Macaca mulatta: one gene and its partner. The protein of the gene in region 1 purifies or fractionates together with the protein of each later gene. This does not show direct contact. Links are inferred from orthologs where the notes say so. Each region holds a gene or a part of one and is shown on either strand. Other genes may lie near its edges.

What was found. Proteins that work in one complex are often made in the same cells at the same time.
Region 2: the proteins of PRDX5 (region 1) and PRDX2 fractionate together in Homo sapiens (co-fractionation; 3 studies listed by BioGRID). This does not show direct contact. The link is inferred for Macaca mulatta from reciprocal best matches to the Homo sapiens genes PRDX5 and PRDX2.

What each region holds. Positions count from the first base shown.
Region 1 is NC_133419.1:10,078,901-10,083,754, forward strand, and holds the start of PRDX5 (peroxiredoxin-5, mitochondrial), read right to left. Parts: upstream 2,896-4,854; 5' UTR 2,808-2,895; coding exon 2,634-2,807; intron 1,296-2,633; coding exon 1,161-1,295; intron 399-1,160; coding exon 267-398; intron 195-266; coding exon 156-194; intron 53-155; coding exon 1-52. Other genes in the region: TRMT112 (multifunctional methyltransferase subunit TRM112-like protein), read left to right, coding at 3,505-3,582, 3,662-3,763, 3,879-3,968, 4,058-4,165. UniProt on the Homo sapiens protein: Thiol-specific peroxidase that catalyzes the reduction of hydrogen peroxide and organic hydroperoxides to water and alcohols, respectively.
Region 2 is NC_133424.1:13,354,880-13,359,792, reverse strand, and holds the start of PRDX2 (peroxiredoxin-2), read left to right. Parts: upstream 1-1,758; 5' UTR 1,759-1,873; intron 1,874-2,342; 5' UTR 2,343-2,351; coding exon 2,352-2,454; intron 2,455-2,549; coding exon 2,550-2,703; intron 2,704-3,320; coding exon 3,321-3,443; intron 3,444-3,624; coding exon 3,625-3,755; intron 3,756-4,913. Other genes in the region: THSD8 (thrombospondin type-1 domain-containing protein 8), read right to left, coding at 1,394-1,541.

The DNA of each region.
Region 1 (4,854 bases):
GTCGATTCCCAAAGATGGACACTAACGAATCATCTAGTAATAAGTCTGTCTCCTAAGAAGAGACAGAGAAAAGTATCAGAAATCCCTGAAGAGGCCAAGGGCCCCCACTGCTCCCCACACGACCATGTTCCTGTGGTGGTCAGGGGAACACTCACCTTCCCAAAGGCCCCAGTGGGATCAGCCAGGAGCCGAACCTGCAGAGAAAGGAAAGGTCACAAGAAGAATATCCTACCTGGCCCTGACTCCCTGCAGGCCCCACACCTCACCTTGCCTTCCGCCTTGTGGGCTCGGCCCCACTCGCCAGTCACAAAGGCATCATTAACACTCAGACAGGCCAACACCTGGACTCCCTTGGCCTTCAGAGCCTCAGCCTGCTCCACAAACCCTGGTAGGTGGGTCTGGGGAAGGGGAACAAAGGGTTGGCAAAGTGGTAACTGCATCTGCCCCCTAGCCCACCCTTCATCTCCAGGCCCTCCTCACTGCTCTGCCTCAACACCTTTGATCAGACAATGAGAGCTGTCTAAACCACTCTATTTCCTTTTTGCCTTGGCCACTAGGAAGCTCAGAATGAAACCTAATGCCTTATGGTCCAGACGTGAACTTTCCATGGGCAGAACTATGTCTTAGTTATCTGAGTTCCAAGCACCTTCCAAAGTGCCTGTCATTTAGCAGGACCAACAGGGGTGTTGGATTTAATTGCAATATGTTTTTCTTCAACATTCCTGGTACTGTTCCCTTTTTGCAGTCTCTATTTTTTTTTTTGAGACGTAGTCTCACTGTTTCGCCCAGGCTGGAGTGCAGTAGCACGATCTCCACTCACTGCAACCTCCGCCTCCTGGGTTCAAGCAATTCTCTGCCTCAGCCTCCCCAGTAGCTGGGATTACAGGCACTCGCCACCACGCCTGGCTGATTTTTTTGTATTTTTAGTAGAGACAGGGTTTCATCATCTTGCCAGGCTGCTTTTGAACTCCCAACCTCGTGACCCACCAGCTTGGTCTCCCAAAGTGCTGGGATTACAGGCGTCAGCCACCGCGTCCAGCTCTACTTGTTTTCTGATGGCACTGAAATGCTTTTTAGGAGTCCTGTCAGGACTATGTGGAGGACTTAAGAACAACACAAGAGATCCCAGGTCCTGAACTTCAGAAGGGGAAGGGCCTCACCTTGGAACATCCAGGCGTGAAGGCCCCGGGAACTCCAAACAGCACACCCTTCTTGCCCTTGAACAGCTCTGCCAGGTTCACCTTGTTCCCTGGCTCCCCTTCAAACACCTCCACTGCAGGGATGGCATCTCCCACCTAGAGGGAAGGACTCCAAGGTAAGGGGGGTGAGGGAGCGGGGCAAACCATAGGCAGGAAGGTGAACAGAGCGCCTGGCAGCCGGGCCTTCAGGAGCCGGGGCTGAAACCCAGCAGGATGCTCCAGCCCTGTCAGAGTTTCCAAGGGCCCTCCCTGCCCGCTCACACCGGGTTACCCCATATCCTCTAGGTTTCAAGATGGCCCTGCTCCTTTTAAGGGGCCATTGGTGACAACAGAGAAAGGGAGGGAAGGCTTCCCCTAGTGTCACAAAGGGTTACATAACATGCTGTCTGTTACAGGAAAGGAGTGGAATAAAATGGGCAGGGGCTAGAGGGCTGTATTTGGAGGTGAGGAGGAGTCCCTGACAACATGGAGGGAGAGGATCTTGGCCAGGTCTGAGGGTCCCACCCTCAAGAGGAGAAAGAGGGAGGGCAGCGGCAGGTGGAACACTGGGGGAGGCTGTCCAGGCCCCTACACCCAGGAGGGGTACAACAAAAGAAGGAATCTTTTGAAGGGGGAAGGATCCGCCCCTGGAGTATGTGAGGGCTTCATGGGGCCAGAGTGGGTAGGGAGAGAGTGTCTGAGGTGGTGGAGTCTCTGAGGAGCCCAAAGGTTGGCAGCAGGATGAAGTAGAAAGGGAATGGGGTCTCACAGGGTTTGGGAGGAGAAGGGGGAAGGTCCAAGACCCCGGGGACGGTTCCAGGAGGTGAGTGAAAGACAAGCAAAAAGGTGGGAATTCGCCATGGGAGGAGGGGAGGGCGGAGCGGGATGGGGGAAGCCCCGGCGGGGGCACTAAGGGACAGCTGTTTCAGAAGATATGGGAAATCAGGCCAGGAGCGGTGGCTCACACCTGTAATCCTAGCACTTCGGGAGGCCGAGGCGGGCGGTTCACCTGAGGTCAGGAGTTCCAGACCAGTCTGAACAACAGGGTGAAACCCCGTCCGTCTCTACTAAAAATACAGTAGCCGGCCGTGGTGGCTCCCACCTGTAGTCCCACTTACTCAGGAGGCTGAGGCAGTAGAATCGCTTCAACCCGGGAGGCGGAGATTGCAGTAAGCAGAGATTGCGACACTGCACTCCAGCCTGGGCGACACAGAGGGACTCCATCTCAAAAAAAAAAAAAAAAAGAAACAATGCCTCGGAACTGCCCCGGGAGGTGAGGTCCCCACGACTGGCGAGAAGGGTGGGCAGCCAGGAGGGCCTTCTGAAGGGATGAGCGGGGCGGCCGGCGGGGAGGGGTCTGGCAGGCAGGAAATAAGGCGATATTCCCAGACCAGCGCGACGGGGGTTGGCATGGGGGTAGTGGGGGATGTCAGGCCCGGCCGGGCCAGCGGTCACCTTGATCGGGGCCATGGCTGCAGCGGCTCTGTTGAAACTGCGGACCCCGCCAGACGCCCACCCTCCTTCACTTCGCCGTCTTGCTGCTGCTGTCGCTGCCACAGACTGACCGGCGGCCCCACCGAGTATATAGCCCGCTGAGCGTCTCAGGACGCACACGCCGGCTAGTCCCATACCCGCCCTAAGACCACTTTCACTCCGCCCCCTAGCTGGGGCCACCGCAGCAGGCGGGGCACGGCTGGAGGCACTGCTGCGACACACTGCGGAAGGCGGGCCTGGGCCGCCTCCACTGCGCAGGCGCGAGCGGCCACGCGTGTAACAGAGCTTCCGGGACCCTCGCCTCATTTGCCTCGGGGGCTGGCTGGACAGCAGACGCAATTACAAATTGGGCAGAGCTTTCGGCAGTGGGGCAGCTAATTTGCATATAAGAATGAGGTGCCGCTCGGCTTCCACGGGTCTAATTTACAGATAGGGCAGTATTTCTGCCCCTTAGCCGAAAGCGGGGTACAGAAGACGACGGTGTTAGGCGCCTGTGTAGGAGTAAAACATGTTTATTTTGCATTCAACGAGAGCCCCTGCATTGCAGCTATTTTGCATATGATTTGCATGATACGACGGATTTGTGCAAAAAAAAAAAAAGCTGGGCGTGCGCTGTAGGAACCTCCTGCTGAGACGCTTCCGGTAGTGGCGCGTGACCCGACAGGTCTTTCACCTACCTAGCTCAGCTCCCGCAAGCACGAGAATTTCCAGTAAGTTCGCCACTTCCCGTTCTCCTGGCCATCCAATAGCATCGAGTGGAGCATCCCCGGAAGTGACGAAGCGGAGGACGCCCTCTTTCCGGTTCCGGCCTGACGAGAGCCTGTTCGGCGATATGAAACTGCTCACCCACAATCTGCTGAGCTCGCATGTGCGGGGGGTGGGGTCCCGTGGCTTCCCCCTGCGCCTCCAGGTACCACGGCGGGCTTCCCTTTTCGGGTGGGATGGTGGGCCAGGGTCCAGTGCTTGCCTAAACTCCTCCGCCCTGCCAGGCCACTGAGGTCCGTATCTGCCCTGTGGAGTTCAACCCCAACTTCGTGGCGCGTATGATACCTAAGGTGGAGTGGGCGGCGTTCCTGGAAGCGGCCGATAATGTGAGGATCCTTACCCCGCCCGAGCATATCCCGGGGAGTGCGGGGCGGGCACACCTCAGCCGGGCTGAGGCGGGAGTTCGGGATGCCCGGAGATAATTTCGACTCTTGCCCACAGTTGCGCCTGATCCAGGTGCCTAAAGGGCCGGTTGAGGGATATGAGGAGAATGAAGAGTTTCTGAGGACTATGCACCATCTGCTGCTGGAGGTGAGAAGCGGCCCATCACTTGCTTCCTGGGCCACCTGCCTCCCTCACTGAGGCTGCCAGTGCTCAGCTCTGTCCCTCCCCGCCCGCAGGTGGAAGTGATAGAGGGCACCCTGCAGTGCCCGGAGTCTGGACGTATGTTCCCCATCAGCCGCGGGATCCCCAACATGCTGCTGAGTGAAGAGGAAACTGAGAGTTGATTGTGCCAGGCGCCAGTTTTTCTTGTTATGACTAATGTTTTTGTTGATGTATACCCTGTTTCCAAATTCTGCCGTGTATATCCCCAACCCTTGACCCAATGACACCAAACACACAGTGTTCTTGAGCTCGACATTATATATTTTTTTCTCATTAAAGGTTCAAAACCAAAAGCGGTTTCTCTTTGCAGCAAATATACATTAAAATAGAGTCTCTGTACAGCCAAGGGCTCTGGGCCCTGGCTTGCCCCATGTCCCTGCGCCTCCCTGGCCAAACCCAAAAATAAATATAGTGTTATTGCTCTGCAGGGCTTAGAGGCAGTGCTCTCCTACCCCCTGAGGAGGCTGGATGGGAGCTGATGGGGAAGCTCTGGCCACCCCAGGGGTCCAGGGGCTGGAGCCTGCTTGGAGTTATTGCTTCAAGGGGGGGCACTAATGCCCAATGCAAATGATGAGAGGAGGAGCGAAGGGGTATGGGCCTTTGCTCTCCAAGTCCCACTCTGCTCTGAAGAGGGGGTAGGATTAAGCAGCAGCAAAAGCATCACCCACTGGGAGACTGTGGCCTCCATCCCCTTCCCTCCCTGAGATAGGCTTCTGCCTCCCACACATCCCCTGCAGCCCCCTATGGCTTCCGCAAGGCCCCCTACACTCTGGGGGCACGTTATGGCTTGCAAGGGGCAGCACTGTGCCCA
Region 2 (4,913 bases), on another chromosome or scaffold:
GGTTTATTTTTTATTTTTTATTTTTATTTTTATTTTTTGAGACAGGATCTCGCTCTGTTACCCAGGTTGGAATGTAAGGGCGTAATCATGGCTCACTGCAGCCTCAAATTCCTTGGCACAAATGGTCCTCCTGTATCACCCTCTTGAGTAGCTGGGACAGGCTCATGCCACCATGGCAGGCTAATTTATTTTTTGTTTTTATTTATTTATTTATTTTTGTAGAGAAGGGGGTCTCTCCATGTTGCCTAGGCTGGTCTTGAACTCCTGGGCTCAAGCAGTCCTTCGGCCTCGGCCTCCCAAAGTGCTAGGCCATCAGGTCAGGCTAATTTTAAAATCTTTTTTGTAAAGATGGAGTCTTGCTATGTGGGCCAGGCTAGACTGGTCTCTGAGACCAAGGGATCCTCCCACCTCAGCCTCCCAAAGTGCTTGGGTTACAGGTGTGAGCTACCTCGCCGGCCACTATGATCACTTCAAACAGCTCTTTACTGAATCTGCCCCTTTCCCCTATGAGACAGATCTTATCCCAACTCCGATCTTTTTTTTTTTCTTTTTTTTTTTTTTTTTTTTGAGACGGAGTCTCGCTCTGTCGCCCAGGCTGGAGTGCAGTGGCCAGATCTCAGCTCACTGCAAGCTCCGCCTCCTGGGTTTACGCCATTCTCCCGCCTCAGCCTCCCAAGTAGCTGGGACTACAGGCGCTCGCCACCTCGCCCGGCTAGTTTTTTTGTGTTTTTCAGTAGAGACGGGATTTCACCATGTTAGCCAGGATGGTCTCGATCTCCTGACCTCGTGATCCGCCCGTCTCGGACTCCCAAAGTGCTGGGATTACAGGCTTGAGCCATCGCGCCAGGCCTCCAAGTCCGATCTTATCCCAACTCGCGGCTCACCAAGATCTGACACCTGCTACCCTCCCACACCCACTCTGCCACATCTCACCGACCTCTTCCCATTTCTCCTTTAGGCCTTTTCACCTTGGCACTTGCTATTCCCTCTTTCTTGGACATTCTTTCCCCAAATCTTTCCATTTGGGGTTTTCGCTTGTCGTTCTCGCAGCACTGGTCACGGGTCTTCTGCAACCGGACCCTCTCTGACTTCCCAAGCTTGCCCGCCCCCTTCTTTCTCTGCTTCTGCCCTTCCTGGCACCTATCCCCGAGTGACAGCTTCAATGTCCTACCCACACCCTCTTCCCCTGGGAGCTGCTTTAAAGCAGTATCTATTTCAACGTATCCAAGAGTAAACCGAGCCTCAGAGAACAGTAACCAGCCCAAGGGGACGCCTCCAGTGCAGAGCTGGGTGGAGATTTGCAGCCCGCGGAGGAAGGTCCCTTTGCAGCCAGCAGGAGAAGTAGGGCAACGGGGAGCCTATGGACATCGTCACCCCCGCCGCCTGAGGTTACCCTTTAGATGCTGCAGCCTCAGCTGCTCCCAGGTGTCACCTTCGCCCTGCTGGCCGAAGTACTGATAGTCCTGGTAGACCTGGGCAGGGGTCGCCAGCGGCAGGAGTAGCAGAGGCGCCAGCAGCAGCGCCGCCGGGGTCCGGGCCATGCCCGACTCCAACGGCACCCAGCGCGCTCGCAGGCAGAGTTGTGCGCGGAGTCTGCGGCGGCCGCATTACCCCCGCGAGCCGGTGCAGTGGTCCCGGCCGAAGGCAACACGTCTCCCCCCGGCTCCCGCAGGCGCATGGACTCGGCCGCACGCTCCCCCGCACCTGAGGGTGCAGTGGACCCGACCGCTCGGCTCGTTTGCTCCCTCCCCTGCGCAGCGCACATCTTGGTTCGGGCCGGGCATAAAAGGCTTCGCGGCCCAGGGCTCACTTGGCGCTGAGAACGCGGGTCCACACGTGTGATCGTCCGTGCGTCTAGCCCTTGCCCACGCAGGTATAGACACACAGAGTGCACCTGGCGGGAGGACCCCCTTCAAGCTGCTTTGGCCGGATCCTGACCTCAGTGCTGGCCGCCTTTGTTTTCCATCCGCTGTAGTGGCCTCCTTTGTCCTTGCGGGGGAAACCGAGGCCACAGCCTTGCAGTGCAGGCCCGATCGCCCTGTTCCCCGCCCCCTGCTCGAGGGGGCCTCACTGTCTCCTTCTGGACTTGGGGCTTGCGACACCGCGCTCCGGCCCACTCGCTCGTGGGGTGCTAGTGGCAGTGGCTGGGTCACTCGTGCTCTGGTCAGGAGGGCGGGTCTCCGGCAGCCTCTGGGCTTCGCAGACCCGGTACCCGGGAGGGTGAGGGTTGGTGCTGTCGCCTCCGCCGTGCTGACTCAGTCACAGGGCCCAGCACGCAGCGCGACCTTGGGGTGGGAGGACAAAGGGTCTTCCCGGGCGCACTGACCGGACAGGGGTCTCAGCTTTCAGTCATGGCCTCCGGTAACGCGCGCATCGGAAAGCCAGCCCCTGACTTCAAGGCCACAGCCGTGGTTGACGGCGCCTTCAAAGAGGTGAAGCTGTCGGACTACAAAGGTGAGCGCAGCCCGGAGCGGACCCAGGTAGAAGCAGAAGCGGGGCCGTGCATGAGAGAGGCTGGGCCCTAACTCCTCTTGGTCCCTCCTCCCCAGGGAAGTACGTGGTCCTCTTTTTCTACCCTCTGGACTTCACTTTTGTGTGCCCCACGGAGATCATCGCGTTCAGCAACCGTGCCGAGGACTTCCGCAAGCTGGGCTGCGAAGTGCTGGGCGTCTCGGTGGATTCTCAGTTCACCCACCTGGCTTGGTATGAGCAGGGGCCAGAGAAGGAGGTTGCAGCTAAGCTCACACCCTCGGGTCCGAGCTGTGTGGCTTCATGACCATTGCTTAATCTCTGGAACCTGCGTTTCCCCATCTTGAAAATAATGGAAATATTGCCGCCCAAGTTTTTAAGGATGGCAGTAATTAGCATTTGGCAGCTAGTTGAGCTAGTTGTTTGGCACATAGAATTGCAGATGCAACTCAGATGCAACTTTATCTGCTCTATCTACTAGTTCCCGGGGGGGAGGCTGTGCTGCCCTATTTCATAAAGATGGAAACTCGGGTTCACCTAAGTGAAGAGCTGTACCCCATGACACAGCTAGAGGAGGACGGGGACTCTTAACACGGGCTCTCTCCTGGGTGATGCTGCAAGTTACAAGCACATGTGAAGCCACTTAGCTGGAGTGTGGCCTCTCAAGCTTAGTCTTCCCAGCTGTGGGAAGTCCTTGTACCCAACCCAGGGTGGGGTGGGTGAGGCTCCCAGCAGCCTACTTTAAAGCCCCTTATCTTTGGCCTCCAGTGCTTATCACATTGGGCCCACAGGGTGAGGACCCGGCTGTACCAGGCATCCTGAGGCCCCAACTCTATCTCCTCTACTCCCAGGATCAACACCCCCCGGAAGGAAGGAGGCTTGGGCCCCCTGAACATCCCCCTGCTTGCTGACGTGACCAGACGCTTGTCTGAGGATTACGGCGTGCTGAAAACAGATGAAGGCATTGCCTACAGGTACTGTGGGACCCTCAGCCCGGCTCATGGAGACCCCCCATTCCTGTGGAGCTGGAACCACTCCGGTACAATGTCTTCTTTGCCCCCAGCCCTGTGGCTAGCAGCGGGTGGTTGGTAGTCCCTTCCTTGTCTCTGGCAGTGGGAGCTCCCAGCTCCTTACTGGGAACCCTGATGTCTTCAGGGGCCTATTTATCATCGATGGCAAGGGTGTCCTTCGCCAGATCACTGTTAATGATTTGCCTGTGGGACGCTCCGTGGATGAGGCTCTGCGGCTGGTCCAGGCCTTCCAGTACACAGACGAGCATGGAGAAGGTGAGCAGAAACACACATGACACATGGGTACATACTCAGTGCCTCTGTCACTCATGCAAACATTCACTGCCTGTCCTCTGACCTGTCCAGATGGGTGTTAGGGCCCCAAAGAAGATTCAGCTCAGGGGTTTGTCTGCAGGAAGTTTCTAGTGTGGTAAAAGACAAATACCCCTGACATTCAACCAAGGTGGACAAAGGAGCTGGGCTCAGTGGCTCACGCCTGTAATGCCAGCACTTTGGGAGGCTGTGACGGGTGGATCACCTGAGGTCAGGAGTTCGAGACCAGCCTGACCAACATGGTGAAACCCCGTCTCTACTAAAAACACAAAAAAATTGGCCGGGCGCGGTGGCTCAAGCCTGTAATCCCAGCACTTTGGGAGGCCGAGGCGGGTGGATCACGAGGTCAGGAGATCGAGACTATCCTGGCTAACATGGTGAAACCCCGTCTCTACTAAAAATACAAAAAACTAGCCAGGCGTGGTGGCGGGCGCCTGTAGTCTCAGCTACTTGGGAGGCTGAGGCGGGAGAATGGCGTGAACCCGGGAGGCAGAGCTTGCAGTGAGCCGAGATCACGCCACTGCACTCCAGCCTGGGAGACACAGAGAGACTCCGTCTCAAAAAAAAAAAAAAAACAAAAAAAACACAAAAAAATTAGCTGGGCATGGTGGCATGTGCGTGTAATCCCAGCTACTTGAGAGACTGAGGCAGGAGTTCTCTTGAATCTGGGAGGCGGAGGTTACAGTGAGCCGAGATCGTACCATTGTACTCCAGCTTGGGCAACAATTAGCCTGGCTTGTGAAGCATACCTATAGTCCCAGCTACTCAGGAGGCTGAGGCCGGAGGATCGCTTGAGCCTGGGAGGTCGAGACTGCAGTGAGCTATGATCACACCACTGCACTCCAGCCTGGGTGACACAGCAAGACCTTGTCTCAGGCCGGGCGCGGTGGCTCAAGCCTGTAATCCCAGCACTTTGGGAGGCCGAGGCGGGCGGATCACAAGGTCAGGAGATCGAGACCACAGTGAAACCCCGTCTCTACTAAAAATACAAAAAATTAGCCGGGCGCGGTGGCAGGCGCCTGTAGTCCCAGCTACTCAGGAGGCTGAGGCAGGAGAATGGCGGGAACCCAGGAGGCGGAGCTTGCAGTGAGCCAAGATCGC